Neodiprion lecontei: one gene and its partner. Each later gene encodes a partner of the first gene's protein in a complex. Links are inferred from orthologs where the notes say so. Each region holds a gene or a part of one and is shown on either strand. Other genes may lie near its edges.

Evidence for each region.
Region 2: the proteins of kinesin-associated protein 3 (region 1) and kinesin-like protein KIF3A are in contact, whole or in part, in a crystal structure (PDB 9IKB), measured with the Caenorhabditis elegans proteins. The link is inferred for Neodiprion lecontei from reciprocal best matches to the Caenorhabditis elegans genes kap-1 and klp-20. Residues at the interface, in NP_001367739.1 of Caenorhabditis elegans: Ile269, Glu272, Leu273, Val276, Arg277, Leu309, Ser310, Ile311, Phe312, Asp313, Glu314, Asn315, Lys316, Asn349, Phe350, Phe352, Asp353, Lys657, Ala660, Gly661, Arg663, Phe664, Lys665, His667, Asn668, Gln670, Trp671, Met674, Val675, Asp679; in NP_497178.1 of Caenorhabditis elegans: Tyr557, Ile558, Pro559, Val560, His562, Leu565, Ile566, Tyr569, Lys582, Ile584, Ala585, Tyr586, Gln607, Met611, Tyr612, Tyr613, Ser614, Tyr615, Arg616, Leu619, Ala621, Ser622, Thr623, Ala624.

What each region holds. Positions count from the first base shown.
Region 1 is NC_060262.1:131,811-148,289, forward strand, and holds kinesin-associated protein 3, read right to left. Parts: upstream 10,398-16,479; 5' UTR 9,981-10,397; coding exon 9,955-9,980; exon of another isoform or gene 9,855-9,954; intron 9,794-9,854; coding exon 9,676-9,793; intron 9,335-9,675; coding exon 9,172-9,334; intron 9,095-9,171; coding exon 8,885-9,094; intron 8,677-8,884; coding exon 8,540-8,676; intron 8,452-8,539; coding exon 8,121-8,451; intron 8,056-8,120; coding exon 7,877-8,055; intron 7,780-7,876; coding exon 7,611-7,779; intron 7,523-7,610; coding exon 7,422-7,522; intron 7,341-7,421; coding exon 7,122-7,340; intron 7,043-7,121; coding exon 6,877-7,042; intron 6,771-6,876; coding exon 6,645-6,770; intron 6,556-6,644; coding exon 6,451-6,555; intron 6,373-6,450; coding exon 6,287-6,372; intron 6,204-6,286; coding exon 6,017-6,203; intron 5,899-6,016; coding exon 5,808-5,898; intron 5,736-5,807; coding exon 5,594-5,735; 3' UTR 4,898-5,593; downstream 1-4,897. Other genes in the region: T-complex protein 1 subunit theta, read right to left, coding at 43-345, 604-663; guanine nucleotide-binding protein subunit gamma-1, read left to right, coding at 4,270-4,482; ATP-dependent RNA helicase WM6, read left to right, coding at 11,820-12,021, 12,319-12,539, 12,654-12,837, 13,014-13,132, 14,808-14,939, 15,725-15,871, 16,060-16,197, 16,410-16,479.
Region 2 is NC_060266.1:25,202,252-25,216,653, forward strand, and holds kinesin-like protein KIF3A, read right to left. Parts: upstream 9,011-14,402; 5' UTR 8,868-9,010; coding exon 8,853-8,867; intron 8,775-8,852; coding exon 8,356-8,774; intron 8,252-8,355; coding exon 8,046-8,251; intron 7,962-8,045; coding exon 7,822-7,961; intron 7,730-7,821; coding exon 7,532-7,729; intron 7,443-7,531; coding exon 7,051-7,442; intron 6,957-7,050; coding exon 6,539-6,956; intron 6,468-6,538; coding exon 6,342-6,467; intron 6,269-6,341; coding exon 6,131-6,268; 3' UTR 5,455-6,130; downstream 1-5,454. Other genes in the region: centrosomal protein of 152 kDa-like, read left to right, coding at 36-139, 229-1,455, 1,536-1,751; lysosomal Pro-X carboxypeptidase, read left to right, coding at 3,204-3,362, 3,469-3,609, 3,809-4,089, 4,166-4,323, 4,421-4,593, 4,696-5,048, 5,133-5,376. UniProt on the Caenorhabditis elegans protein: Component of the kinesin II motor complex (composed of kap-1 and the heterodimeric motor proteins klp-11 and klp-20) which is required for intraflagellar transport (IFT).

The DNA of each region.
Region 1 (16,479 bases):
GTGCATAACAGATCTGACGTAGCTGCAGAACAAGAAGTTTACCAGGCGGAGAAGTTCCTCAGCTGCTTCAAGCAAGGCCCCAGCAAAGATAATGACAAAGTTTGTTCCGTCGCCTACTTCTGCTTCCTGCATTTCCGAGGCCAAGACCATTAACTTTGCAGCCGGATGCTCGACTTCCAGCTCTTTAATAATAGTAGCAGCATCGCTTGTGACAAACAACTTTTCAATGTGGTTTATCACCATTTTATTCATGCCATTTGGCCCATAGGCGGTACGGACCGTTTGCGCAAATTGTTTACAGGCAGATATATTCCTATAAACAGCTTCTTCCAAACCTGAAAAATACTTTGAAAAGCAGAAATACATTAAAAATAGCATATCTAACGCGGGCGTCAAACAAATAAATTATCTGGCACGAGAATGATTTTATGTGATTGAAAATAAATTTTGCCCATAAATGGTGACGAATCTCGGATGGAACGTTCTCGGAGTCGGTACCTCCGCGCCCACACGCGGTACGCATCACCGGTGACCCGGCCGATTTATAATCGCGTTACGGTTACTGGAAGTAAAAAAAATACTACCGTAATTACAAATACTTACGCGAGCTCCATCCTTAAGCATCTGAGCCACTCCGGGCGCTTGTGGAACGTGCAGAGCCATTTTTTCGACGCAATTTTTCACTAACGACTTACACCAATTCACAAAGCGTAGATCGTCGTCTGTCGTTGTCGTCCTACACCTCGTGCCTGCTCGTACCGCTCGGTGATCGACAGCAGTGCCACGGTAGTTTTGCGGTGAACGAACAAACTACGCACTTGTTTCGATTGAGTCGGTAAGTGTAGGGCACTGCTGTTACTTCCGTGCCTTGGAAGATCGGCGCTCTTTCGGCCATTTCAAAATAATACGCGAATCTTTGGCAACGTTCAGTGAAGAAATTTCATCAACGACGACCCACGTTTTAGCCCCATGTAGTGTCTCAATATTTTGATTCACGTACATACATACATCGTATTCACGAGCATAGAGTGCATGATGGTGAGAAATCAAAGCAGCTTACATCAAAGCCAAACGTTTTGTCGTCCGATTAAAAAGTTGCGAACAAAATCATGCTTTCAATGTATTTTTCCGTTCCGAGCTCGACTCAGTATTGCCAGCTAGTGAATTTTACAAACTTACACCTATATATCTTTACACCGTGGGATAAAGTATACAGTCTATACAAGGTTCATGTATATTATAAAGAAATCTTAACTGATCCAGTCCACCTTGAATCAATATGTTATAAATGGCGTAAGATTATCCCCACATTTCAACAAAACCGTAAAAACGAGGAACAAAAGAACCTGTTCTTAACAAATGATATGTAAAGCTCCAACATGGAAACTATATATTCAGATACTAGTTCAAAACTAATTAGTTTCCCTTCAATTACGCAAAGTATATGCTGAGTAATTAATCCTGTTTGTTGTAAAGTTAAGTGTTAAAAATTGTCTCAACAGAATTAAATATAAAATATTTCTGGATTCGGAAAAAATGCAACAGAAACTATATTTATTTTGAAATCATCTTAATGCGCACCGACTCGGACATTTGCTTGTCAGCTGAATAGTTCACCTTAAAATTAGTTCAAATCTACAAGCCATTAATTTTTCAACAAAATTAATTATCAGACTAAGCTAAAAAGTCGCCCAATTGAATTTTGCCAACATTTGAAACGCTTAAAAACTTTTGCCGCCGTGACCTATAGGTGACATTAGTGACTAAATTACAAGAGCGAGTTTCCAACACTTTTGATATGGTACCACCGAACATTTTCAAATAGCTAACAGCCAGAAATAATGAGTGATTTTAAATTCATGCGACTCACCCATGCTGCAACTTGATAATCGGTCCAGCCTCACCATCCGAAGTGCATCCTTTCTGTCGTGAATTAGATATTCCTCTGGAGAACACTGAACAAATTTTATATTTCCATGGAAAGCACTTAATAAATTTTATATTCGTGTGGAGAACATTGAAAAAATTTTATATTCCTGTGAAGAACACTGAACAAATTTTATATTCCTGTGGAGAATACTGAACAAATTTTATATTCCTCTGGAGAACACTGAACCAATTTTATATTTCTATGGAAAGCACTTCATAAATTTTATATTCGTGTGGAGAACACTGAAAAAATTTTATATTCCTGTGGAGAACACTGAACAAATTTTATATTCCTGTGGAGAACACTAAATAAACTTTATATTCCTCTTAAGAACACTGCATAAATTTTATATTCCTGTAGAAGACGCTGGATAAATTTTATATTCCCGTGGAAGACACTGAATAAATTTTACAGTTCTATGGAAAACACTGAATAAACGGCAAAGAATATCACCGATGGAAAACTCACGACAATTTTTCACCTCACAAATAGAACAAAACTGCTTTCTAAATTCCGCGCTGCACTTGTTAGGATTCATCGAGACTACATTTTGATTAAACGATCGAGTACAGAGGATTGGGACTTGTGTAAATGATTTCGAATGTTATCTGAGTTTAGCTTGCAACAATTGAAAATTGACACGGTGAATTTTCCATAGCCTAAACGACTTCGCAATGCCAGTTGTGCTATATTCATACCTCTGTGGCCTGAATCCCTGCATGCGAAAAATTGCAAATGTAAAACAGAGTATTCACGGCTACTTTTCACATTTCTTTCACTTCAATAACTACAATTAACGACGATACGGTAACGGCACGCCAAAACCCGTCCGTTAAATTGGCGGCAAGAAGAGAAATTTTCCACCGATTGTCAGTTGTTTATACCCAGAACGCCGCCATTATAAATCACGAATCCCGCCGAAGTCCGTTGACCACGAAGTAAGACATTCACAAAGCATTGATGATGAATGCCAATTACAATGCGCTTTAGCTATTGCCGACAAATTTCCTACAATATTACGCGAAAATACTCTCATCTCTATTCTGTACAGTATACATACATGTGTAAATAACGAACAAAATTTCCATCCTTCGGTATTACACCGGGCAACGGGCATCGTGATGTTTGTTTTTTTTCAACCGATTTGTATATTAAAATAACGAATATTTACACTCACAATTATCTTTCTAGTCACCTGAAATCGCCATGTAAATCACTTAGATCAGCATGTACTCAATATAAAACCGTCAAGACGCAATATGGCATGATTTTTATGGCAAATTTGGTGTAACTGAAACTGCGGAACGTTCGCACCCCCGGCGATAGATTCGAAACTGCAAGAACAGACAACTTCTGGTCAATGCTCGCAGCATACCAACTGCACAAATTGTCCGCCGTCGGAGAAACAAAAAATTTAATTCCACGCATAAGCATGGAAAGAATCCATTTGAGAAATATTTATTTTACCCAATGAAATGAACTTTTGCTTATGAATTTAGTCGCGCAGAAGTTTCGAACATCTAGCAGCGATGAATGGAAACCGGAAGCGTTGAGAAGCCATTGCATATCCTACTAAAGAAAGCCAGCTATAAACAATATTTCGTGATTGTGATTTCGTGCCAGTTTGGGAACTTCCCTTATCTGTTTCTGGCTTGCGAGGTAAAAAAAGCCAAAAAATGCATGTGTGAACGTCAGTAATATGCATAGAAATATGAGGATAACAGTGTGGCAATCCGATAACTTTTTTATCGGTGGAGGCCGTTTGACAAGCAATCCCATAAGATACATAAAATCCCGTTAGGGTAAACCATCTTTAATAGTCCTTAGTCAGTGCCACTGCACTTTTAAAAACCCCCATCGTGTCGCCGTCAAACTTCGTGCGTCAAACGAACATTTTGTACCTTTTGTACGAAGCCGCAGGAAGCCGCCATTACTCGCGATTGCTGATAATCTTGTACACACATATTCATTCCGGAGCTATTTTAAAGTGTTTAGTATTGTACGTTACGTACATATGTGTGTAGGCACATGCATACATAGATCGGTCATAGTCGGCAAGCTCTGTTGGATTCCGTACAAATTTCACTAAGCCAACGGCAGTAAGAATACTCGTTCAGTGGCGAGCGATTCGGCAATTTACCGAAGATCGAGTTCAACCCTTTCCGTCGACCGACGCCCGCAGTTCGCAACAACGTCCAAGAACCAAGTCGTAAAGTCTCACCCCTGGAATCGGTGCCGTGAAACCGTCTCCGTTGCGAAACCCTTAGGCCTCTAGGCCGTGTTTCATCGCCCGAGTGTACCGCCACGCCCTAACAATAGGCCTGTCCGATACGGCTGTTATGGACATGATGGTTACGAATCTACAACAGCAACGTCAGGTTACCGAGCAGCTTCGTCGCGAGGCTGCGATCAGGCGAATCACCGTCAGCAAGGCCGTCGAGGATATAATGAAATATATCACGGAACACGAGCAAGAGGACTGCCTGTTAGTCGGATTCTCCTCACAAAAGTCGAACCCCTTCCGCGAGAAGAGCTCCTGCAGCATTCTATAAGCTGAGTAACAACCAGTCTCGGGATCTCCTCTTAGCAGGGTAATCTCACTTTGGCAGACACACCTGTTGTTTCAATATGACTGAATGCCTCGTCGTGCTACAAACTGTGCACTTGGACACGGTTTGTCAACTAATCATTTTTAGATAAGAGAAAAACCAAACATGTATAATTTCCTTACCATCAACCATTTATCCTGTATTTTGTTTTTACTAACCCGGTAGAATTGCGCTTTAGTCAGCAAACACGTGTTCACTTGTCATCGATTGAAATTTCTCATAATTTTGAATCTCTGTCTTATCGCTTCCACATCTAGATAATAATCGATGGCAATAGTCAATACAGCAAAATCATCGTATATGCTATTCTTGAAGCGGCCTCAGCTCTGCCATGGCGGAATGTTTTTTATTTAGACAATTCGATGTGTCCAAAATAATTGTAATAAGTAATCTAAACTTATTTTATAACTGTAAGATACATGCTGTAAGATAAAAGAGTTTAATTTCACAATCAACAGAGTTCAAAGTTTCTGCTCTGTTTTTATTTGCACTGTAGAGTGATCCCAATGGAGTTGAATTAAAGTTAGCCAGCAAATCATCAAAACGTGGAGCTATGCTATGCTTGTACAGTGGGCTGCTGACTGATTCCAATTCTATCACATTCATCTTCTGTATATTGCAAATCGCTCTACCGTGCGAACAGACACTGTCAAGTTTTGAGCTTTGATTGCCGTAACAACTAAACCTGATCAATTCCAGCTCCGGTTTCTGGCGAAAGCCAAACATCCATGGGCATTTTATTGTTGCTATGATGATTAATCACCTGGAACTTGATTGGACCTATGATCGTAAGATAGTTATTTTCCTCATTTCTCAAACAATATTGCTTTATTGAAAACAAGAGAAAAGCAAGTCTGCATATTTTATAACATTTGCAAATGTCAATGTTATTCTAAAGGGAATAAATAAATCAATATGTATATGCGTGTGTGTGTGTACAATATCTAAGTATGAATAAATAATTTAACGTATCGCTACTTCTACTTGTATATCTACCTATATACGTGATAATGTAATGAGATCAGCAATAGAAATTTATTCAAATTACCAGCCATTATATAAGTACGTGAGAGGCATTGAATTCATTACACTTCATTTTCGAGACACACAAGTCCTCAATCCCAGAACCAATGGACAGTCGGGACCTGGAGCGGGCAGCTGTTAGTTCACCCATCTCATCTAAATCTCTAGTGTACCTAAATTGTATTTCAGTAATTATCAAATCACTGCGGTTAATTTTGTTTAGCTGCCCATCTTTCTTAACTTACCGACTGACTGGTCGGCTAGGATTCTCCGAAGCATCCGATAAGCTTTTAGCCACAACATCGACATCGTCTGCATTAAACAAAGCAGCATTACCTGAAAGAAGGTGTATTAAACGTCGTTTCAAAATCAATTGCCGGAAATATTTTGAAACAATTTGTTTCCACGCTTTACAGTATGTTGAATATATTTAATGCTTGTAAATATTATTTACTGGTTGGAAAGAGCATTGTATGTTTGAGAAGATCTCCACTAGCAAATGGTGGGAGGCTATCGTCTTCGTCTGGCATGAGGTGATTTGTAGGGTCCAATGTAATAGACTCTACCATCTCCAACCATTGTTGGTTGTGTGATCGGAATTTCTCAACTTTAATTCGAGCTGCCCAGTCTTCGTCGCAAAGCTGAAATAATCGAGTATATTATTTTGGTGTAATCCTAGTCCTAGCTTTAAACAAGAGGGAACAACTTTCGACAAACAACTTACCGCAATAACGTCCAAGCAGGCATCGCATACCTTTCGGATCATGGGATTTTTATCATGCATCAAGTCTATCAAATAACCAGGGGCTTCTGGAAATAAATGACGAACGAGTCAATCACGGATTGTAGCAATACTTGAAAGCATCAATAGAAAATAAATATACTTACCATTACCAGTCTCTCGAATCAAATAGTCTCTTGTAGAATCATGTTTAGCAATTTGATAAAATACGTAGATTATTTGTAGTACTATTTCATCATCCTCTTGTTTTGCTGTTTATGAAGAGAATTTTTTGTAGTCATAAGCGTAGACGGAATGAATTATAAATTTATTAAATTATTGCCTTCTGGCTGAAACAAACCTCTGAGTAATTCCACCAGGGACAGTAAAATATCGGCCTTGCACAATAATCGGGCGCACATTTCGTCGTAAGCTGCCGTACCCAAAAATATTACTACTTCCAGTACCAAATCGTCTTGGGCTTTACCTACCAAGAAGTACACGAGCATGTCAACTTTGGCGTTCGACAATCACATAAAAACGCTCTCCAAATCTTAATTCTTTAGACTCTGTACAGAACAGAAATTGTTTACCAGGCACAAGGTTGTTTCTTATCCAAGGTATTAGATTGCATCGTCGTAGTATTTGTGAATAGTCAAGATCCGGAAGTGTCAAGTTGCCAAGGACTCCAACAATTTCCAGCACGAAATCTTGCGATTCTGATTGAGTCAGAGCCGTTGCAAAGTCGCCAACAAATTCCTGTAACATACAAAGTCTGTCATATAAAAGGAAGGCAGTGGATGGCTAAATACTCATACATTTCCTACGGAATACCCACAATGAAACTCTCCTTGGTGCAATCGTGCTGTGATATGTTTCGTATCATTTTCATCACTAGCGGATCTTGAGTTCTAAATGCACGACGAATCAACCCCTGCAAAATGTTGTTCTCGACCATTAGCTGAGCATTCCGTTTATTGGCGGCCAAATTTATACATAATGCAGTCAACTCCGGTTTTATTTGATTATCATTAGACACCAAAATCATGTCGGTAACCTATGCATATCAAGATTCAATGTTTTAGATCTGTACCTTGGCCCGATTAGTAGTGACTTGAAGTAACTGCCTACTACGTACCATAGGAATGCAATCTGTATATGTAAACATAGACTTGACTTTGTCATCCATGCTGAGATGATAGAGCAAGCCGAGTATTGTAGTTTTGTTTTTGATCTCACCTGTGGAAGGAAATTAAAGCAGACTTGTTATAAGACGCATCGCATAGAACGTAGGATACACTTTCGTATGATGCTTCAATCAACTTACTTTGAATCAGCAGCGTGACTAGCTTTGGTAACAGTCCTACCCGTATCATCTTTGACCGCAATTTTGTGTCAAATGAAAGATTAAATGATAACTTCAAAGTGCTTTGAATTAGATCAGAATTACTGTTGTGTAGTAGCCTCGGTAATTTTTCAATTACATTCAGATCCGCCTAAAATTATTACAGAAGTTCAATGCAACTTTGGCAATTGAGAACACAGAGGATATTTGAATGATTAAAATTGTGAGCCACAGGTGTTAAGGTATACCATTAAGTCCTTGTTCTCGCGGAATATAGACAATTTCTTGAGAAAAGTCACAACCAATATCAGCAAATCCGTATTGCTTCTGTCTAATGTCTTGATGAGCATCCCAATGACGTTCTTCTTACGCATTTTGCGTTCCACTTCTGTGTTCTCCGCAATGTTCAATAATAGGTAGAAGGCAACTAAACATAAAGTACATGCATATTTAAATAGCTTCTTTCTTTAAGAACAAAGCATTGTCACCTACCTCGCAATAACTGTTCCTGTTTTCTTGTCAAACTTTTAAACTTTTTACGACTTTTTTCAATGTCCTCTTTCATTTTATTAACATCAACGTCCGTAGCGGAACTTGTCAATTCGACGGATCTTCTTTTAACTTCAAAGTCAAGGGGACCATCTGCATTCCAGATCTCATCGCCGACTATTGCTTTTTTATCCAAGTTATTACCAATTTCAGTAGGAAAAAGCGAGAGGCCTGTTGTACTTTCAAAATGACGACGCCGTTTCTCCATGTCTTCTTTCCACTGGTCATAACGCCCAAGCTCGAAGTCAATTATGTCCATACATAGAGAGCCGATCTGATGAAATAGATCCAAAATTTTATAAATCTGAAACGTACGGGACAAGCTGCTCGTTATACAAGAGAGAAGAACGTTTTGAATTTACCCTATATTCTAGTACTATGCTGTGAAACTGACTGTAAGTTGAGAAACAAAAGAATATGTAGACTATGTTAGTGGATAGTTCGATACTGCGTCTCCAGTCTTCTCTCAGAACTCTCGCTAGTGCACTCAGTAGGGATTCTGAGAACAAGAGAAAATAGGAATTTGTAAATACCACTAGGAAAATCTGTAGAAGCTTGATACATTTTTCAACCAAATCACTTCCCACAAGTCTTGTTGATTGTACTCTCTTGTTTTGTATCGTTGTTTTGCAATGTATTAAAAAAGTACAAAGTAAAAGGGGGAATACCCGATATATTTGATATCTTTTTCATTTCATGTTACTGACCATTCTTTGTCAATTCCAACAAGTTGTCCGGAACTCTGGCGAGCTGTAGAATTAGAGACGAACCCCTAATTTTCCCTGGTATCTCTTCGTACATAAGTTCAATATAACTGTCAATGTTGCTAATAATGGCTCTCTCGATGTCAACATTGCGCTCTGTGTTTGTTGCATGAGAAGATGCTGGCCGTGAAAGTTGTATACCCACATCCTCAACTAGAACAATTTAAAAGAAACTCATCAATAAAATTATACGAATATGAATAAAAAATTTCTCCACTGAACTATCCTACCTTCATCATTGGTCCGACGAGTTTGCAGATAATAGATGAGTTGTTCAACTTCTCGTAACTTGGACCCATGAATCAAACTGCATTTTTCCATAACTTCTTTGGCGAGGAGAGCTACGTTTGTATCAGCGTTCAAACTTTTCAAGCGTATTATCTTTTGACATTCCTAAAATATTGGTCGATACATGTGAATATATAATCTGACCTATAACTAACAAGGTGATTACCCTTGTACTTTCATCATTGACGACCATGTTCACACCGTCAGGACACTTTGTATTTGATCAAACTCATACATAACAAGTAATAGATATATAACTATTGCCATGTATCGATCAAATTGATGAGTAGGTACACACATCAATACCGTGCACTCATCGAATAAGAAATCAATGAAAGAACACAAATCTAGTTCCATGGGAGTCGGTACATGCAATAGATGTCCAGTGTGGGCATAGTCGACAACGGTTATGTTGAGGATAGACTGGGAAGGTGGAGTATCGATACCTTGCGATCTCCTAGCATAGGGTCACCAAGTTCTCCTAAAATCAATGCTTCCACGTCGTAATTGACTACCAAAGCCTTTTCAGTTGGATGAACATCCAAGTTGCCGGATCTCACTTTCCTGAAACAGAAAAATTCAGCCTGAGCAAGGAAGAAATGAACAATAATTCCTGTTCTCTCACCTATTCTATCCGGACATGTTCCAGAGACAGCTGTCATTGTCATATAATTTTGCATCGGAGGATAATCTATAGAAGGCTGATCAGCCAGTAAAAACTCTACCTTTTTAAAAACTTTGCTTCGTCCATCTTTGACCAAGACCACAGACAATTTTATTTATGAACGTTGTATCTTTAGGTTCCTAGTGCTGATGAGTGGATGACTTAATTCCGCAAGCACCAGCCATCGCAATTTTCGACAATTCTATAATTAGTGTATTCCTGTCTGTCAATAAAAGTCTGCGGGGATCTGCGTGACCGATGGGCAATGCAGTATAGGACAACACTGTAGGAAATTAGAAAAAATTATACGGCAATTGGAACATAACAGCAGTTAACAGCAAACCAAAAGCTTCGGCACCGATGACAACGATGGAGAACGATGTTCGGAGTCGTCGCGATGAATTTATAACAAATGGATTATAAACATCAGTGATCAACATAGGTATAAATGTATACCAAGTGTACAGGAGAGTGGGGGTAATAATAAATAGGTATAGCGGATAGCCGGGATAGCCAACAGGAAACCACTGACTAAGAATTTTTAAAGACAGCGAGCCTCGTGAATTCAATCTATGCCGCGCAGCAAAGAGGATTCGGCAGATTGGAAGCCGTGGAAGGTTTGCGTAGCCGTCGCCGTGAGCGTCACCTAGTGAGTCGGGGGACACAAGTCGCGTATCGTAATCCTCTTTGCCCCGCAGTATAGCGGTTCCGGCGTTGCTCAGTTATCTTCCGGTACGTTTGTATACTTTACGGACAGCGGTTCGCCCTTGTCGCGTCATCCGTTTTCCCACTCTCTGGGCCGAGCTCACCGTTCCTGGACGTTTCCTGATCTTCGTAGTTGATGCTCGTACCCTACATAGTTTGCATTTTCAATTGAGGTAAGTTGTCGCACCCGGTTCTCATCACTGTAATCTTATTTAAAACACGCGATCCTTTGATCCAAGCAAAAAATAATTGTTTAATTTTTAGCTGATATTGTTGTTTCTTTGAAATTACACTATATTTGTACGCTAACATTCGCGGCGGTTGTTTAACGTTAATCCTTGATACTACGTACCAGTTTTGTGTCTTCTGCGTGTTATGGTAATATTATCGCCGTTAAATTGATTTAGCTGTTAATTTTGAAGGCTTAACGATCATATTTGTATCTGAACATATCTCCGGCCATTCAATATTCAATCAAATATATTCTGATATGCCCACCTTGCTGAAGATGAGCGAAACGACGGTAATGGCGGTATGTCGAACAATGTCGAATCACTGAAATGGTGCCGGCAGGTGCTGGTCACCCCAAGCTGGTTTCCGTTCACAAGGTTCCTTTTCGGCGATATTCATATAATGTTCCAGTTTCAAACTAGCGATTAGTTTCACGGATATTTGTGCATCAATTATTGATATGTTGGCCCTAGTTACTGTGATGAATTTTTCTACGTGGCTCGCGGTCGTAATTCCAAATTTTTTCGTCTACTACGTTATGGAAGGATAGCGGTGCGGACGCGTACACAAGATGGCGAATGCAAATTCATGTACTGTGTACGTGGCTAGAACGGGGAAAGATAATGAAATGTTATAATTCCTAACTATTCAATAAAACTTTTTTTATACGAAGAAACTTACAGAATTGTGTTCTGTAATGGAAAAGTAAATTAAACGTTATTTAAATCAGAAGATTATTTCCAATTATTCAGACGTGATATGCGAGATCCAAGAATTAAAGCTTGAACATTGCTCTGGTTAATGGTTCTGCTTCTACCAAAGAGACTCTTGTTTTACCCATCGAACTCGATTTTCACTTACTTTACGTGACTTGAATGGTACATACATCGTCTAAAGATATTATAGGATGCATTTGGTTTCTAATCACAAAATGGACTATATATATATAAAAAAAACTTTATACAGGAAGCGTCAATATAATACAAAAAAATGGCAGACAATGAAGACTTGTTAGACTACGAGGATGATGAGCAAACCGAACAAGTGGTAGATGGTAGCGGAGACATATCTGCAAAAAAAGAAGTCAAAGGTACATATGTATCGATTCATAGCAGCGGGTTTCGTGATTTCCTCCTCAAACCAGAGATACTTCGTGCCATTGTCGACTGTGGTTTTGAGCATCCATCCGAAGGTATTATAATTTTATAGATATATGTCGGTCAGAAGATTTTACATTTTTAGAATGTTTGTACAAGTAACTTACATAAGAATTCTCCTTCCCAGATTCAATCCGTTACTTAACAATCTAAGGGGGTAGCGGTTGGGAGATACTTTGTAGTCTGAATGATGATATTATAGATAGGGACATCTGATTAGTAATGAACGATCTATCTGTATTCTGACTCGATTTAGCACTCTTAATCATTCTAAAGCTCCATACAAGACCATGGCCTAACAAGCAAATTGTTGCAAAATTATTGTGTTGCAGTGCAACATGAATGCATCCCACAAGCAGTTCTGGGCATGGACATCCTTTGCCAAGCCAAGTCTGGTATGGGAAAGACTGCTGTTTTTGTGCTCGCAACTTTACAACAGTTGGAACTAACGGAGAATGTGGTTTACGTTTTGGTCATGTGCCACACCCGTGAATTGGCTTTTCAAATCAGCAAGGAGTACGAGAGATTCAGTAAATACATGCCAGCTGTCAAGGTGATTCTAAAGCACAATCTAAACAGGACGGGTTTTATAAATTTTTTTTTTTTTTTTTTCCCACCCTTTTCTAACATAAGTGTGTAATAACATCAAAAAATTCTTAACTTGCAGGTGGGTGTTTTCTTTGGAGGATTACCGATACAAAAAGATGAAGAGGTACTAAAAAATACTTGTCCTCATATCGTGGTGGGAACACCTGGTCGTATTCTCGCACTTGTGCGCAACAAGAAACTCAATCTGAAACACCTGAAACACTTCGTTTTAGACGAGTGCGATAAGATGCTGGAATTACTCGGTGAGAATTGACTCTTTATGCTATGCTTATTCCTTTTCTGATCTTTGAAACCTATTTGCGTAATGCGTCAAAAATTGCCTTATAAGCATTCCACTTTCTGACAATAATTGCTAGCCATATCTACTCTTTAACACTAGAAGACAATTTTAGCATACTAATGGTCGATTTTACCACAGATATGCGGCGTGACGTTCAAGAGATATTCAGGAGCACTCCGCACGGCAAACAAGTGATGATGTTCAGCGCAACCCTGTCCAAGGATATACGTCCAGTCTGCAAGAAGTTCATGCAAGATGTAATTAGAAAAACTTCCTCCTCTCTTCGATCTTCGATCGCTTCTTCGTTGGCTCTGCGTTTACCCAGGACTGAGCTCAGACCGTGCCATGAATATTCTATTGCGCACATCCGCGAGTTAGGCTAGCTAGGCAGACCAAATTATTGTTGATCTCGTCCAAACGAACGTCTGAGGAGAATTTCCACTCAGACTCGACCGTTAATTGACGACGCGCTCGCGAACAGTCGTAGCAACAGAGTTTCGTTGAAAACATTTCCTCGATCATCAGTGAATAGGAGAAGCCTCCGTTGAATCTAAACAATCGTCGCGTTGAACCGTTAATTGACGTGACGATGCATAAACGTCCTACAAATCAATCTTGATCAACAGACCTCCAAAGTCCATGCATCCTTCATAAGAACGATCTTTCAAACCTTGGAAACAATGAATCTTGCTCCCATAGTCATCTATTTGTGAATCCCATCTCGTCACGTTCAATCGCATTCAGGTTATGGTTTTATAAACGTCAATACCACGTTAGTTAACACGGGAAAGATGATAACTCTGTCATAATTGTAACGCGCTACAACCAACAGAAGTGTGCTGATGTCAACACATGGATCGTTTCTTGCTACATAAGAAAAATATTGATCTCGCACGGGTTCGTGGGGTGGGGGGCCAAGAAGACCTCAAGACATCGCTTCCAAGATAGAAGAAAGCAAGAAAGAAGACTCAAGAGGACACTTGGGGAAACAACCGCGCCTAGATAGGGATAAAGTCTAATGTCGGAGGCTTCACCCAATAGCTCGATAACTTTAGACTCTTAGTATCTGTCCGGCATTACTGATTGGTACTACAAAACAGCAACTCGTCAGAGCAAATCTCGCGTTAGATTTCCAAAAACATAACATGGTGCTGCGTTGTTTCTGTCGTCGCGGTTAGAAAACGTTCGAGTTTATTTTCATGGCTCAAAGTTGATGAATAAGATTCTGAGCCAGCGAGCATGTCAACCACAAAACCCTACAGTATGGGCCAATGCCATTGGCGAATGCCAATATGCCGTTCACGTGCTTGAGAAGTGAAAGTTTACGGGAAGGAGACTACAGCAATGGGAGTGGCTGAGCGTTCCTGGGTGCGCACTCTATTTGTGTCGGCGCTAATGCCGAGAGATGGAATCGCCTGACCGTATGTAACTAGTGTGATAAACCCAACTGCCAGATTATCCCAGAGCCTGTATGTAAATAATTGTACTTCAGATACCTGACCATTGGAGCGATGAAGTGGTTTCAGTTCTCTTATATTGGAACACAAACTCATATCAGATCATATATTCTACTTTGTTTTCAAACAGTGGTTATAATTGCGCGACATTAAATAACTTCGGTATGGTCCACGTTCACTTTAATCTTCATTCTTCAAGAATCACATATTTGACTTATATTGGTATTTTGAAAAGACCAATTCATTTTCTCTATGTTGCGATACCGGAACGCTGAAAAGATGCTGTCCAGTGAGATTAACGAGGTCTGATACGTGTCTATAATTACCTTGATACCATAGCTTGATAGAGAGAAACAGACTTCAAGCTGAATCGATAGATTCGTGGATCACGGATTGTGAAGTATTTGGGCATCCATATGCGCTGGAATTAGATCAGGCTAGTGTAGGTTGTCTTATAAATACCTTGTTTGCGCAGCCGATGGAGGTGTATGTGGACGACGAGGCCAAACTCACTTTACACGGTCTACAACAGCATTATGTCAAGCTGAAGGAGAATGAGAAGAATAAGAAATTGTTTGAACTGTTGGATGTTCTAGAGTTTAATCAGGTACGATTGTTTTCTTTTCATGACATACGCATTCATTTACCTGTATAAATTACACCTGCATCGCTTGAGTAACTTCTTTAGACACGTTTGATACACGTACGGCGGATTTACTATTGGGTCCAAATGATGTGTGAATTATCTTAGCCAAGTATGATGACTCCATCATTCCATCACCCACTACTGATGGACCCTGTATATCCCGTAGAGATTCGATGAAGCAACCCCATTGACCTACTTGACATGGTGTCCAGTGGTCCTGGAAATATACTATTTTTGAAGTGTGCCAGTGAATGATATATTTATTTGTGTTCACTGAGTAATTGTTTTTATAATGTCAATTCCCGCCTTGAATCGCATTTTTCGTTTTCCCCTACTAACAGGTTGTAACAGAAATAACGTATATCTCATACGTCACGCTGATTATATATACAGTGCCCCCTGCCCTCTACATTCGTGTTTTTTTTTTTTTTTTTTTTTTACTGGGAGTCCTCGAATGTATTACAGATATTTTACTGGACACCATGATTAAGGGGACTGGTGTCTTGTGCTGAGTGCTGCAGGTTGTCCCCTACATTAGCGTAAAAAGCCTGTTTCACTGAATGTAAATATGTTCATTTAATACAGATATATAATGTGATATAATGCATCACTCATACAAAGTCAAGTAAACGTAGTTGTTTATTTTTCACTTCTGAATTGCAAAAATTTGCTGTGGCGAAATACTCTAACCTTTTTAAGTTCACCTTCTACACTTTAACTCAATTTAAAAATTTCATTTATGATAGGTTGTGATATTCGTGAAATCCGTGCAAAGATGCATGGCCCTGGCTCAATTGCTGACAGAGCAAAACTTTCCAGCAATTGGTATTCATCGAGGAATGACCCAGGAGGAACGGCTTTCAAGATATCAACAATTCAAAGATTTTCAAAAGGTAAAATTTTTTTTAAACAGTTTTTACGTCCTTCTAATGAAATATTTCATATTAAATATTGAACTGGATAAAATAACTATCTATTTATCTACCATCCATTGTGAATTCGCAAGAACTATATCGATAAATAGCGATAATACCGACAATATTTATCGTACTTGATATTGACTATATTTATCCGTACTCAGCGTATCTTGGTTGCTACAAATTTATTTGGTCGTGGGATGGATATTGAAAGAGTCAACATAGTTTTCAACTACGATATGCCTGAAGACTCCGACACTTACCTTCACAGGGTAGCTCGTGCAGGACGATTTGGTACAAAAGTAAGTCGAATAATATCGCATCATTTAGATTTGAACCTTTTAATTTTTCCGCTTAATGATGAAACATGTGTTCTAACTGATTCACGCCATGATATACTCTTGAACTCTCTCCTGATTATGCGGAATTTTTTTAACGTGATCGATTCAGAATCTCCTTCCATTTTACAATTATGATTGTGGTGACAGTTTTTTTCTTGCTTGTTGCGATACAGGGTCTTGCTATTACATTAGTCAGCGATGAAGGAGATGCAAAAATTTTGAACGACGTTCAAGAAAGATTCG
Region 2 (14,402 bases), on another chromosome or scaffold:
TTTCTGACCATTGATTTTGTCTTTCTTGTTTGCAGCGAAAGAAGAAACGCTGAAAGAACTGCGTAATGCTTACCCAAACCGTAACATAAGTGTAATTTTACCAGATCACTGCTCTGAGCATGTAGATAAAATTACTCAGGTATGTATGTTGTTTAAAGATTGTTTTTCATGATACAGAGCACATTTATAGTCAAATATACTCTTTATGGCTATCATATCCTATTGCAGCTTGAAGATGATTGCAAACGTTTGGAAGAAAAGCTTTCGAATGTAGTCGAAGAGAGGAAAAAAATGTCGGAACTACAAACAAATTTGGATGATGCTAGATTAAAAATAGCCCAGTTGGAAATCGCACATGAGTCTTTAAAGAAAAAGTGCGAGGATGTTGCCAGAGATCGAAATTCCTGCAGAGATAAGATCTCTGCATTGGAATTAGAATTATTGAATGCCAAAAGAAGTACACAATCGAATTTACAGGAATCCAGTGATATCAGGCAAAGCCTCGAACGTGCACAAAGTGAATATGAATCATTGCAAAAAGAATATGATAGTGTTTTGAGGGATAGAAATACGTTGAAGGATAAGTTGTCTAGTTTAGAAATAAAACAGTTGCAAGGCAATACAGATGTTAATTCAAACTCGGAAGAAAGAATGATACTTTTGGCTAATGAGTCACGGCGCAACGATGAGCAGCTTCAACTTCAATCGAAAGAAATTAATATGCTCAAAGAAGAACGAGATCAGCTCGTAGTTAAACTGAAAGATCAGGCAAGACAATTTGAACGGTACGTTAAGAGTCAAATGCAAGTGTCAGTGGAATTGAACAACTCTCCTCGCAGCTTGACAGGTGATGCTGATTTACAAAAAATGAGGGAAATTGCCATAAAAGAGGTCAGGGAAGAAATGGAGGAGAAAGTGACTGACGAATTAAAGGGGATTGAAGAGCAACATAAGCAAAGACAAAAGGAAATTGAAGAGCAGTATAAAACCCTGTTGTTAGAGTTGCAGTCAAGGTGCAGAGAAAAGACTGAAGAGGTTGAAGCAGTAAAGGAAACTATGATCGCAGAAAGACTCCGGTTACAGTCGAGGTTTAAGGCGCAGGAACAAACGATAGCAAAAATGATAGAAGCAAAGCTGGAAAAGATGCATCATGAGTTGGTGGCGAGAAAAATTAGGATAGAATCCTTGCTGGAGGAATTAAGAAGGAGAGAAATTGATATGGAAGAACAAAGAAATGTAATGGCCCAAGTAATGTCCGAGTGGGCATCGGAAATTAGATCGGTCAAAACAAAAGAGGCTGAAATGAATCAAGATATTGAAAAGTTGAAGCAAAAGGAGGAGGCCTTAACCGAAGAAGTCAAAGATTTAAAACAAACGGAGGAAGATATGAAAAGTAATATCAATATGTTGAAACACAAGTATCAGTCAGCAAGGAAAACTGCTCAAAATTATAAGGTAAGACCTTCGGGATATCATTCGGTATACCCAACGATAAACGTCTACAGTTCTGGTTTTAAAACTGACATGGTTTACAGGAATTGGCGGAGAATAAAGAAAAATTCTTTCTAAGCGAATGCGAAAGGATCAAGGAGGGTTACAAAAGAGCCATGAATCAAGTACAACAAAAAGTTGATGCAATAGTGAGCTCTCAAGAGAAACAAGTATCGACAAAAATGGCGGAGCTCGAGAGTCAGTATGAAGAACAGTTAGAACAAATGAGACTTAAAATGAAGTACAAAAATAAATGTTGAAGTATGTATTAATTCCACTTACCTCTGGTAGAGCTTTCCGTAGTTTATGATAAATTTTAGTTAGAAGAGGCTAATTATATATTATTCTAGTTTAATTTAAAGCACTTTATTGTACAACACATCATTAGAAGAGATTTTATTTTAGGAACAATATTTTCAAATATATATAATAATATTACCAGTCGCTGCGGTTGCCCATACATCAAACGATACGATAGTCATTATTATAAGTGTTACATTTCTCTATAAGTTTTGCAATCATAATTGCAAAATTCTATATAATTAACAACAGGCAAAGTGCCTGGTCACGTACTTTGTAGGAAATTGTAATTGTAAATCACAAATTGATACAAATATTAAAAATAATATTAATCATTTCTATAAAATTTATATCATGTAAAGTTGAAATTTTATAAATTTTTATACTTAAGATATTAATAACAAGCGTCGTACAACTGTCCATCCGTCAGAGAATGTCGGGACAGTACTATAAGCACCAGTAGCCACCACTGAGTTTGGCTCGTTAATATTGGATGAGGTTGTACACGCAGGTTTTCATTATTATAATCAATTATTTTAATTACTGTAGATCTGCAAGACTAGATAATTATGTTTTAGATAAAAATTTATGCCTCTGTTACTATATGAATATTCGTTTAAGTAATAATGAAAAGAAAAAAATTTATTCAATATATGGGAAAAAAGAAAAGAATGAAAAGGAAAAAAAATATTTATATTAATCGATACTTTCGTAGATTTATTTTGAACTAAATTTTCATTAACTGTGGCAATTTGAAAAAGAATCTATTCTTCTTTCAGTGACGTATCTATCGTGTCGTTTGGATTGGAAATTTCAGCAACCAAACTATAGAGAGTATTGCATAATATATACTGTTTAATTACGTGTCGATACTGTCACAAAATAATAATATCATCATTATCATTTATTATAAAATCATCACTAAATACAGAGTATTATTAATATTAATTACTTACGATGTATTTTTGTACGTAGAATGAATTAATTTATTTTTTGTAATAAACATCTTATGTCATACCAGATTCTAACTAATACTAATCAGTAAAAGCGACATCCTGTCTGTGTTCAGAATGTGCGGTTTTGGTTTGGCATTTTCTTTTCGTTTCATGCACAATCCAATGTTTCTAGTTATATTACGACTCGTTATAAGAATCTGTAGTTTTAAGATCCCAAGTATGTTAACTTGTTCATTTCAACAAGCCATTCAAACACTTGTCAGCTATCGAAAGATAATTTTTCGTTATTGTTTATATTTGATTTCCCTTTATTTGAATTGGATAACATACAGATATACAAACACGAACGAACGTCACGAACACATTCATATCATTGTACGTATGTGTTGAGGATTGATAGAGGTCAACGTTCACTGGTTTGTGATTGCAACCTCAGTGTTCCTCGAGCAGTCGATCATGATGGATCTCCCTACTGCTTTTGGTTTAATAAATGCATTATTCTGTTGTTACATTACTTCTGCTAGCTCAATAGAATATGGTGAATTTAAACCAGCTCAAAACCAGGCAGTAGAAGACATCAAGTATGACTTTGTGATCAAAAAGTTTCGAGTACCCGTGAGTGAACAAGTTTGTTGTATCTTGTAATCAGTCAGTAATTTGTTTTCTTATTTAACTACAAAGAATAACTCACCGTTGAAATTGACAACTGTTTTTTTTCCAGCTCGATCATTTCAGTTTTTCAATGAACGCTACATTTGAGATGCGATACCTCGTTAATGACACATGGCAGAGGGGCAATGATCCACCTATATTCTTTTACACAGGAAATGAAGGGGACATCGAACTCTTTGCTCAAAATACGGTGAGAGATTGCACAGTAAACGTAAACAATTAGCGTTATAACTATATGTTGAAAATTCTATCACTGCATGCCGATTATTCTGGAAGTCAGTGAGCTTATTACAAATTGGTTCCGTGCAAGTTTAAAGCATTGCCCCTTGTTTGTACAAGTTTTGAATTATGTGCAGAGTTGATACTGATATCCAATTATTTTCTTGCAGGGTTTTATGTGGGAAATTGCACCAACCTTTGGCGCATGTTTAATCTTTGCTGAGCATCGCTATTACGGAAAATCTATGCCGTTTGGTAACGAATCTTATTCAGATTCTAGTCATCTCGGATATTTAACAAGCCAACAAGCCTTAGCTGATTACGCTGACTTGATAAGTTTTCTAAAATCTGCTTCGAACATGAAACATAGCCCTGTCATTGTATTTGGAGGCTCTTACGGTGGAATGCTTAGCGCATGGATGCGGATGAAGTATCCACACCTTGTAAAAGGGTGATAGTTGCAAAAGTCTCTTTTGAATGCTAAGCCTTGCTAATAATGCGATAAATAATCCACCTGAAAATTTCAGAGCAATCGCAGCTTCGGCTCCGATCCTACAATTCACTGGTATCACCGAATGCGGCGCATTTGCGAGAGTCGTCACATCAGATTTTCGCATAGCGCATCCAGAATGTCCGAAAACAATTCTCAAATCGTGGACAGCAATCGCAAACGTTACCTCAACTGGTGAGACAGAATATTACTTTATTAGCATCAGTTATATCTGCTATTTCCTACAGGCGGGGACACCTTCACGGATAGAATAATTTAATTTATTTTACAGAAAATGGGAGGAAATGGTTTTCAGAAAATTGGAAATTGTGCCAGCCGTTGAAAAATTCATCAGACATCAAAGTGCTGAAGGACTTTCTGACCGATATTTACGGAAATTTAGCAATGGTAAACTATCCATACGCGTCAAACTTCTTAGCGCCATTACCTGCGTATCCAATATCCGTAAGTTCTATTCTGATATGAAAAATTTCACTCTTTTCAAAGTAAAAGAATTGAACCAAATTCAAATAACATGTATATCTATGATTATTTTTGCTCGTGTAGAAAGTCTGCAGCTACTTGACGAACTCGAATCAGAACGACATGGCGCTTCTTCTTGATCTCAACAAAGCGATTAGTGTCTTTACAAATGGCACAGGAAACAGCAAGTGTTTATCTGTGAGCGAAAACTCTTCTCCAAATCTGGATAGCAAAGGGTGGTCGTATCAATCTTGCACAGAGATGGTCATGCCCATGTGTACCAATGGCGTGGATGACATGTTCGAAAAAATTCCTTGGGATTTTAAGAAATTTAGCGACGACTGCTATCAGAATTTCAAGTCAAGACCCCAGCCTTATCTAGCCTGCGAGGAATATGGATGTCAGGATCTATCTGCAGCTAGTAACATCGTGTTTAGGTGCGTTTGCTGTTTATTTAGTCTTGGAACTGACAGTGACTTCATATCGTGCATCAATTATTGCATTACTTATAAAATTTTCAGTAATGGATTGTTGGACCCTTGGTCAACTGGTGGAGTTTTATCAAACGTTTCGTCGTCGACAGTGGCAATTCTCATACCAGAAGGCGCTCACCATCTAGATCTCAGGGCAAGTAATCCCCATGATCCATCTAGCGTGATTCAGACGCGACAAATTCACTGCAATTTTATTAAAAAGTGGATTCATGAGCATTGGGTACCTATTGATGATAAAAATACAGTACAACATGAAATTATAAGTGTTTGATAAAAGACATAATTTTGCTTCTTATATTAATACGGGGAAAGTTTTCATACTGAATTTGAAATATTAATAGAAATAGGATCTTTTATAATATTTACGATTTGTTTATTCAAATTGCGGATATAAATGGTTTTACATGAGTGGATAAATAACACGTTGCTCGTGAGTTTACTTTAACTAAATTTGAGAAAAGAGATTAAAAGTTATCGACATAGATTTGTTGCAATAATGTAAAAACATATTGCTGGTGATTCGTCGGATTTATTACTATTAAAAAGCTGCAGTATACGTATATTAATTACTAATCAGATCATCAATCTTGTCGTTAAAAAAAGATATTTAAAAAATTAAGCTGCAAAGCATCAGATGTTCCCTCGATGTTACAATTATTCTGTACAACGAATTGAAGATTTCTTTTCATACTTTTTATCATCAGCAATCAAAGCAGATTTACGTAGATTTACTGACTCGTCAAACAGACATTTGTATATGAATATAAAATAATTCAGGAACAATAATTTATAATCCTTACCTATAATACGTATCATAAAAAGTAAAGCAGTTTTTACATAAACAATAACGAGTTCTATAATGTGCTAATATTCGTGCTAAAACTACCTCTCAATCGAGTCCTTGCGTATCCATTCCGTTAAAATGATACCAATTCTTTAAATAAAGTGGTAATTAAAAAAAAAAGAAAAAAAAATACACTATGAAAAATAAATATCTAGCTTATGGTTTTGCTTAAAAATAATGCTTAGCGAGGGGGTCGTCGATGAGCAGTGGTCGGCCTCGGAACACCCGACCGACCTCTCAACTTTTTTGGTTGGGCAAGACTGCTTTCCGTGCCCGTGTTGTACGAAAGGTAGATGTTAGAGAGATCAGGCTGTGGTTGCTGTAACAGAAATTGTAGCATGCAAGTTTGTCAATATTCCAAGCTTTCGATTAGAATCACAATTTCCACTTACATCTTTGTTGCTTCCGGTCGAAGGTGTGGCTTGTGCTTTTCTCATATTGTTTCCTGTGTACGCTACGCATTTCAATTGCCACTCCCCAATGTCTTCGTTCCAATGAACGTACCTTTCGATCATCGTCTGGAAAATATTATGCCGGTCAGGACAAAGTTGGTAATAATGATTAATTTTCTGTACCTCAGTTTACTTACCTGATATTGAACAGGTATGTAGTTGTTGAGAACGAGTTCGTGCAGTTGTAATTCTCGTCCAATTTCTCGTACACCTTCCAGGAGATCTTCCATCTCTCGCTGATGCTCTTGTTGCAAGTCCGATAATTCCGCCTTGGCAGACATCAGCATGGTGTAGACTCTGCCTAATTTTTTTGTTTTTCCTGCAGCCTCTTCTTGCAGGGACGAGTATTTCTCTTCGATGTCTATGCGTTCAGCCTCTTTTTCCTCAATAGCTTTCTTCAGCTGTTCTTCTCGGCTCTTTCTTTGGTCCAGCTCAATTGCAGATGCCGCGAGTAGCTGTTCCTGAGCCTCGGCTTTTTCCAATAAATTCTCACCTCCGACTAGAATTTTGTTTTGCAAGTTTTGCATTTTTTCCCTTAACGCTTCTTTCTCGCTTCTAAGACAAAAAATGAACAGTTTTTATTTGATATTGATTATCAAGTGTTATTGTGGGTGTTATTTTTCTTTTCATACCGAACATAAAAACTCACTGCGTTCTCTTTAGCTCGATGACATCTTTGTCATCTGGGCTTTTGTCGTGCCTCTCTGCCTTGTCCATTTTTTCTCTCAATTCTACTTCACCATCTTCAAGTTGATCCATTGAAAGTATTTGGCTCTGTCTATGTCTGGTTTTTCTATCACACTTTGACTCAAAATTATCATCAGAATCTTCGGTCTCGGGATCAGACTCAGAAACTCCTGTACCATTTTCTTCGAGTTGTTTACGCAGCTCTTCAATTTCAACTTGGAACTGGCGAAGTAGGGCGTCCTTGGGGTCCTCGTTAATTCTAGCTCGGTTCTTAATATTTTTAGCTCGATTGGCGTACCTTAGAGTACTTATAGTTTCATCGTAGTTCATGTCAGCAGGGCTAATGTTTGCGCACTGCGAAAAACATTAATCCATTCAAATTTGGTTCATTGTTCATTCAAGAAAGAAATTGTCACAATCACGAATACTGGGTAAATAGTCACCATTAAAGTTTTCGAATTTCCACCCAGCGAATCCTGCAGCAATCTTGTTAGTTTAGAGTTTCTGTACGGGACGTGTGAACTTTGTCCGTCAACAAGTGCGGATATAACATTGCCCAGTGTCGACAGAGACAAATTAATCTTTGTAGCCTCTCTCAGACGGACTCCTGTCGCTTTGGTTTTACTTTGCCTCTCTGAGCCCTGAAATATCGAGGTTTTAAATCTCGCTGTACTTTCGATGTTGGAATTTAGCAATTCAAAATTCGATCTATATACTGTGAAGAAATACACACAGCTAAATCTACAAGGTGAAGTTTTCCCATTTTAACGTGTTGTTCTCCATCGTCGCCTAGTTGACTGGACTCGACAGTTATGGTGAATATCGCATGGGACCTAGAACTGGAAACGTTCATCGCCGTTGCGCCGACAACCCCTTAAATTAAATAAATAATGGATTATCTTGAGGTGACTTTGTGTCTTTAGGAATAGCCGTTGAACAGCGATTAAATAGGCTCACGATTCTTATTTCCTAGGGTCATGATGCGGTCCAAGTCATCGGCGTTATTGACCACATATCCGCTTAGGTCTTTAACGAATACACCAATGTCCGGTCTCTCTTTGACTTCTAAACGAGTATTTTGATCCTTTCCTAACAAATCTCTAACTTCTTCGTTGTAAATCTCCAAGTATGTAGCGCGAACTAAGAACCTGCAAAAATGTAGTCTGAGATGAAATTCATATTATTTTAGTTCAGTCACGTAATTATCAGTAAATATTTATTCTGCAATTGACATGATCAAATTGAATAACTCGCGGCTGGTAATTACTTCTGATTTTCGTCAGCCTTAGCGATGTGGCCAAATATATGGGCAAAGGTGTTCGGAATGATGCCTCTTAGCTGTGGGGAAGTCTTGGCGCCAGACATGGTGTAGGTTTTACCAGTTCCCGTTTGCCCGTAAGCAAGTATCGTCCCATTGTAGCCTTGAAGAACCTTGTCGACGATCGGCCGGGCTGTTTCGTTGTATATGTCAACCTGTGATGAGTCTGTATCGAAAACTGCGTCGAAGGAAAACAGTTTTGGTGGTTCCCCGGGAGCAGCGTGAGGATTTTCGACCAATATTTCACTGTTCAGAGAGTCAACTTTTGTTATATTCTTACAGTGACCGTCCAACTCCTTTCCGTTCAGTGGTCTAACACGAACGACCACTCTAACGTTTTCAATCTCTCCCAGCTCCGCAGCATTATCCTGTGAAATGTATATTTCGTGTTAAATCAGTGCGGTCGATGAGAACGAACGTCGTTTGAATAATTTTACCAAACTCACCCCTGGTCCTTCCATTATCCTTTGAAAATCGCTCTATAAATTTCTAACTCACTGTACAATATCACGACTTTAAGTCTGCCAGGGAAATACGCTCCTCGCAATGACAGTGACAGGAGCAGACGACACCGCCTCAAACAATCGAATCGATTTTTTTTAATCACAAACCCTTTTTACGCCGACAGCGCGCTCTGTCTTCAATCATTAATAGCTTATTGTGTCATTTAGAGTCCGTCGGTAAATCAGATGTTCTGCCAATTGGAATGTATATTGTGTAACGGGCAAACTCGGTCTTTTTAGGCCGAGCGTACGTTTGCAATATGAGTCGTAGGTGAAGTCGAAGACGAATATTGCAAATATGCGAGGCGAAAAGACCGTTGCCTTCTCGTTGCACACGATTTTTCATGTAACAAGTGTATGTTACACGTTTTTTCACGAAGCACGAAATTGAGGTTAGGGTCGCACAACGTCAGATTCATTCGCGACAGCGCATGCGCGCGGTCTAGAAAAGACCACTTTAAACTCCTAGGGCTTAAAAGTGGTCTTTTCAGTACTCCTCGTAAACGCATTCACAGATTCACTCGAGCGTGATAGAATAGACTAGCACTTTTTGTACGAAAAACACGCATGAAATAACGCGTAAAACATGCTCGCGTTATGTAAAAGTAGATTCCTTCATATGCAGTTAAAATTCAAATTCAAATTGCATTTGCGCCGGAGTCGCGCGTGAGAGATTGGGGTTTTCTTTATTACGTTTCGGCAAGCTGAAACAATATCGCGGTACCAATCTGGAGTGTATATGACGGCATTGTGCGTAATTCGTAGGGAAACAATACGGGCAATGGCGATGCGTTCATTGTGCACCAGAAGCTGTACGCACCCCTGTTTGCTAGCCACCCTACATACGTGCGCCATGTGTTTGTTAACTAGGTGCAGGATCTTAATTGAAATGGGGCAGCTGACAATAAGACCAAAGCGTGAACAGCACAGCGTTTAAACGGGTCTAACTGTAATCAAATTCAAATTTCACTCGAGTATTTTCACGCATATATTTATACACATACTCAAAATTAGTTGAGTATCATATCGTTGAACAAATAAAATGTGTGTAGGAAATTATCATCATATGCACAATTCATTGAGTAACATTTGTGGAAAATTTTTGGGATGAAAAATTAATTTGATGTATTTATTTACCTAAATTTTGTCAAATAAATTGTAGCATTATTTAACGCGATACCTATTAGAGCTACACTGAAATCATGCTCAATTTAGCACAGTACGATTTCACTTAGTTCGCGCCAATTGATTGAAAATTATTGAGATTGAGAATTATTTTCAAAATATAGATCAGTCCTCACGTACCGGGACTTTAAGGATTATACGACATTATTTATTATAATAAAGGAACGCTGAAATCAAAATACCTGCAATGTCAAAGACGACGTTACGTCCGTAGACTTTTTATCGAACAAAATCTCTCATCCCAGTTCGCTAACAGAAATATATACAGTTTAAAGATAACTCAATCTCAGAAATAGTTTGATTATGTTGGCGACCGTTTGTTCGTTTGACAAAAATAGACCGACCTTAGACCAGACCGTCGAAGTGAGTGTTGCGCTCAAAGCGTGTAATAAACACACGCATATCTAGGAGGCATGCCACATACGACCGGACAAGAATGTACAGCACCAGGGGCCCTCTTCTCGTCCTACGTATGGAGAAAGAAATGGAGGGGGGGGTTCGATTCACGTTCACGATTCACTCGTGAATAACACACAGACGTATATATGCACGCCCGGCGACGTTCATTGGCACTCGATGTCAGGGCTCTTTCACTCCCCTCGGTTTTTCCCGTACCCCCAATGCGAACAACACACGGGGTTCCCTGCACATGTGCATCAACCCCGTGGCTGAACGAAGCCCTTAGTCAGCCTCAGCCAGCAGCTAACGTCGCTTGTAAAGCGACGCAAGTGTGGCGCCTGCAAGCCGTCTTATATAACGATTCATCTTTGCTTACGGGAGTAGGATATTTTATTCTCAGTCGTAATTATTATAAGAAGCTCTCTCGGATCAGCGTGCGAGGGAAATATAAGAGAGGGAGAGGGAACGTATATCTAGTTATACTCGTAGTAAATCCTGTTCTCCGTAACGAACGGAGAGACGCGGCGTGCGTGGATTACGCATGAGTTACGCGCGCATACGTTTCGGTTTGGGGACTTATGGGAGTTGGGCCGGTTTCACCGATCACCAAACAGCTTCTACGAGTGCCACCTGAAGCCTGGAAGAAGCTAGGCCGCGTAGCTAGCTGCTCGGGGTTGCTTCGTCACCGGAGTTCAAGCCGGTTGATCGGTTCGAGTCGATCCCTGACGAGTGAAGAGCGAGCGAAGAGCGAGTGAGAGAAAGAAAGAGAGAGAGATAAGTCGATCTGAGACTGGAAATACTAGGACTCCTCTGCTCGGGGATAACTCGAAGAAGGGATAGAAGAAACTCTCTGTAACTTGATTCTGTCGTCCCAGGTCAGTGTTGCCACGGTGGTCACGGTGAGCGGGTGCCGTTTTTATGACTATCGATGTGGATATCTGCGTATCTGTCCGTACTGAATGTCTTTTATACATCGTTATTGTATCCGCTTTTACAGACACCAGGAGTTTCGACAATAATCATCCGTAAGTCGAGTCGCGCGAGTGGATTTCTCAGTGTTTTATGCCGTCAACGGAATTAGTGCCGGTTATAGTAAGCACCGATGACACGTGACGAGGAAATCATACAACAGATAGAAATTTTAACTGAACAACATTTCTGAGCACGTGAGTTATTCCTGTATTTATAGTTTAATATATCATCTTAACCCTGGTAAAAATTTCTAATACAACGAATTTTTACAGAAATTTGAACATTTCGTATTATTTTGTACAAAATTGAAAATATGCATAGGTTTAAGTAAAGAGTTGTTAATTTTCGTTAAAAATTTTAGTATCTTGCGATTGTTTTTACTTAAAACATACAATTTATGAGAAACTATGCATATTTACAATTTTTTGTACAAAATTCTACGAAATGTCCAAAGTTTTTTAAAAAATTCATAGGACATCGTAGAAATTATTTTCATCGGTAAAAACACGAGTTTTGCGCGCATCGATGCATGACATTCGATGGGACGAAGGGTTAAACAACGAAGAGAATCGATATAAATTTCTCAAATCGTTATACATCTATCCATATCAGCCGATAAGCAAGCGTTAACCTAAGATTCTGTATTAAGATTACTAATTAAAAATTAAACGACACCCCAGATACCCACGTGTGGAGTCTCGTATAAAAAGCCGTCTGAACGATAATCACTATTCACGGCCGGTGGCGTTGAAACTGTTTAAGAATTTCGAAACTAGTTGTCGGACTGCTTTTTAAAACTCGATGTAAACATTTCCCGCGGCATTCTGTACCTCGTCCATTAAAATTAGTCGTGTATTTCAATATAATGCTGTATAATACCCCGCAACGCAGCGTATAGGGGAAATACACACGGTGTAAAAAGACTCCGGAAGTCATTCGATTTACATACCTGATGGGCGACAGGGTATACAGAGTGGTAAATTCGTTCCACGAAAACTAATTCCGACAAAAAGCTAATGGTCAAAAATTCATTCAACCAGGTTACTGTGTATAATCGGAGCAAAAAAAAAAAAAGAAAAAGAAAATTCCCCGATTCATTTTCGCCCTGCTCTATAAACCGTCTGATTTTTTATTTACATCTCCCACGCATGAAATTATAGGCAGTATTTTGACGCAGACCCGCCGAGTTATAAATAATATCAGATCGTGTAACGAGGATGGGTTTCGCACAATATCGTGCGTAGCGTCGAGTGTTGCGGGTATATTTTTCGGACACCCCGTAGGGATCGGTGCACCTTGCGTTCACGGCGAGAACATATCTCTCTCCCTCTCTTCCTCTCTCTGTGTGTGTGTGTGTAAAGATGTTACGTGTATATGCTGCACGTGTAGAGCACACATCGCAGGGAACCGCGTATCCATACATGCATATATATACATAATATACCATATACCTCGTACGTATCTCAGCTGCACCTATACCTACCTACCTCTACCTACCTGCCTGCCTGCAGCGTGCGACAGATGTTGCCCAACAAAGAAATAAAGAAAATAGTAGAAAAGAAGGAGAATGGAGTGAAACGGAGTAGTAAAAGAAAAGAAAGAGAAAAAAAAAGAAATAATACGAAAAGAGATGAAAAAAACCGCCCAACAAGCCGGCTCTCCGACTTCGTTAATACGACAACGACGACGACGACGACTCGCACCCATAACGGTCTTTAAACTATAAGAACCGGGAAGAACCAGCCGTTCCACTCCTCATTCGTCACTCCCTGCATCCTCGGACACGAGAACAGCGATGAGTGCGATGACTGGTTTCCATTTTTCGTTCGATCATCCGCTCTCTTCTTTATTTCGACGCGAAATTTCGGCAAAAAAATTTCTCACCGAATGTGACGTTCAGATTTTTAACGAGATCGAAGCAAGTCGGTGCAAGTAAGCTGAAGCTGTAATGTTACGGGTGTAACGCGGTTGCTTAACCGGGACTTAACCGTTAACGGGCCCCGGACCAGTCCCTTCGTAAATTTAAAACATATGTTAATATATACCGGGAAGCGTGCGCCAGCTTGCATACATATGCGTGTAATGCGTGTAAGGATGCCGTACACCGTATACACACAGTTTTATGCTAAAGTTCTGTGACTCGACTTTACTATCGTCGTCGTAGAAAAACATATCGGACTGCGTTGCCGTTTTACGATATCGCCTGTCTATACGCAACCCGCGACGCGCCGCGTGCTTTCGTAATTATCATTCTCATCCACGTATTGTAGTCTCGACCCTCCGCGTAGGTATTCAACCTGCGTTTGAATATAATTAGCGTCTGCAGTATTGCTCAACGGAATACCGCCGAGGCGTACGTCTTGTACGGTGTATTATGTATTCCGTTCCTTTATTTCCTTCTACGCAGGTCAAATGGTTCTTACTTTCGTCCGTAAGTCTTTGTACACACGGAGGGAAAGGATTGTTTGAGTTGAGTGATGATTCGCTTGATTCAAACAAGCGCTATAGTCAAATACGGCGAAGCCGATATTTGCTCAATTCAATAAAATACTTGCGACAACTTGATAGCGAATTGAATCAAGTCTTCGAATGATCATGCTGATTATCTAGTTATTCAAGACAACACGGCGCGAGTTTGTTGCGAAAATGTGAGATTGAAATGACTGAAAATTTGATTGAGCGCATCTCAATGGTTTTGTTTTAAAAATGTGAAATTGTTGTACCAAAACAAATTGAGCTTGTTTTAATTCACGTTTTGTCGAGTCAAGAGATCAATGGTTGAAATAGCTAATGAATTTTGTCGTTACAAAAATCTTTTGCATTGACCGAACATTTGAGTTATTCAAGCGCACAAGACGTATTCTTCGAATGATATCATTTATAATTCTAGTGACTCAAAATTTTGCTGGATTTACTCGACATTCAATAGATAAACCG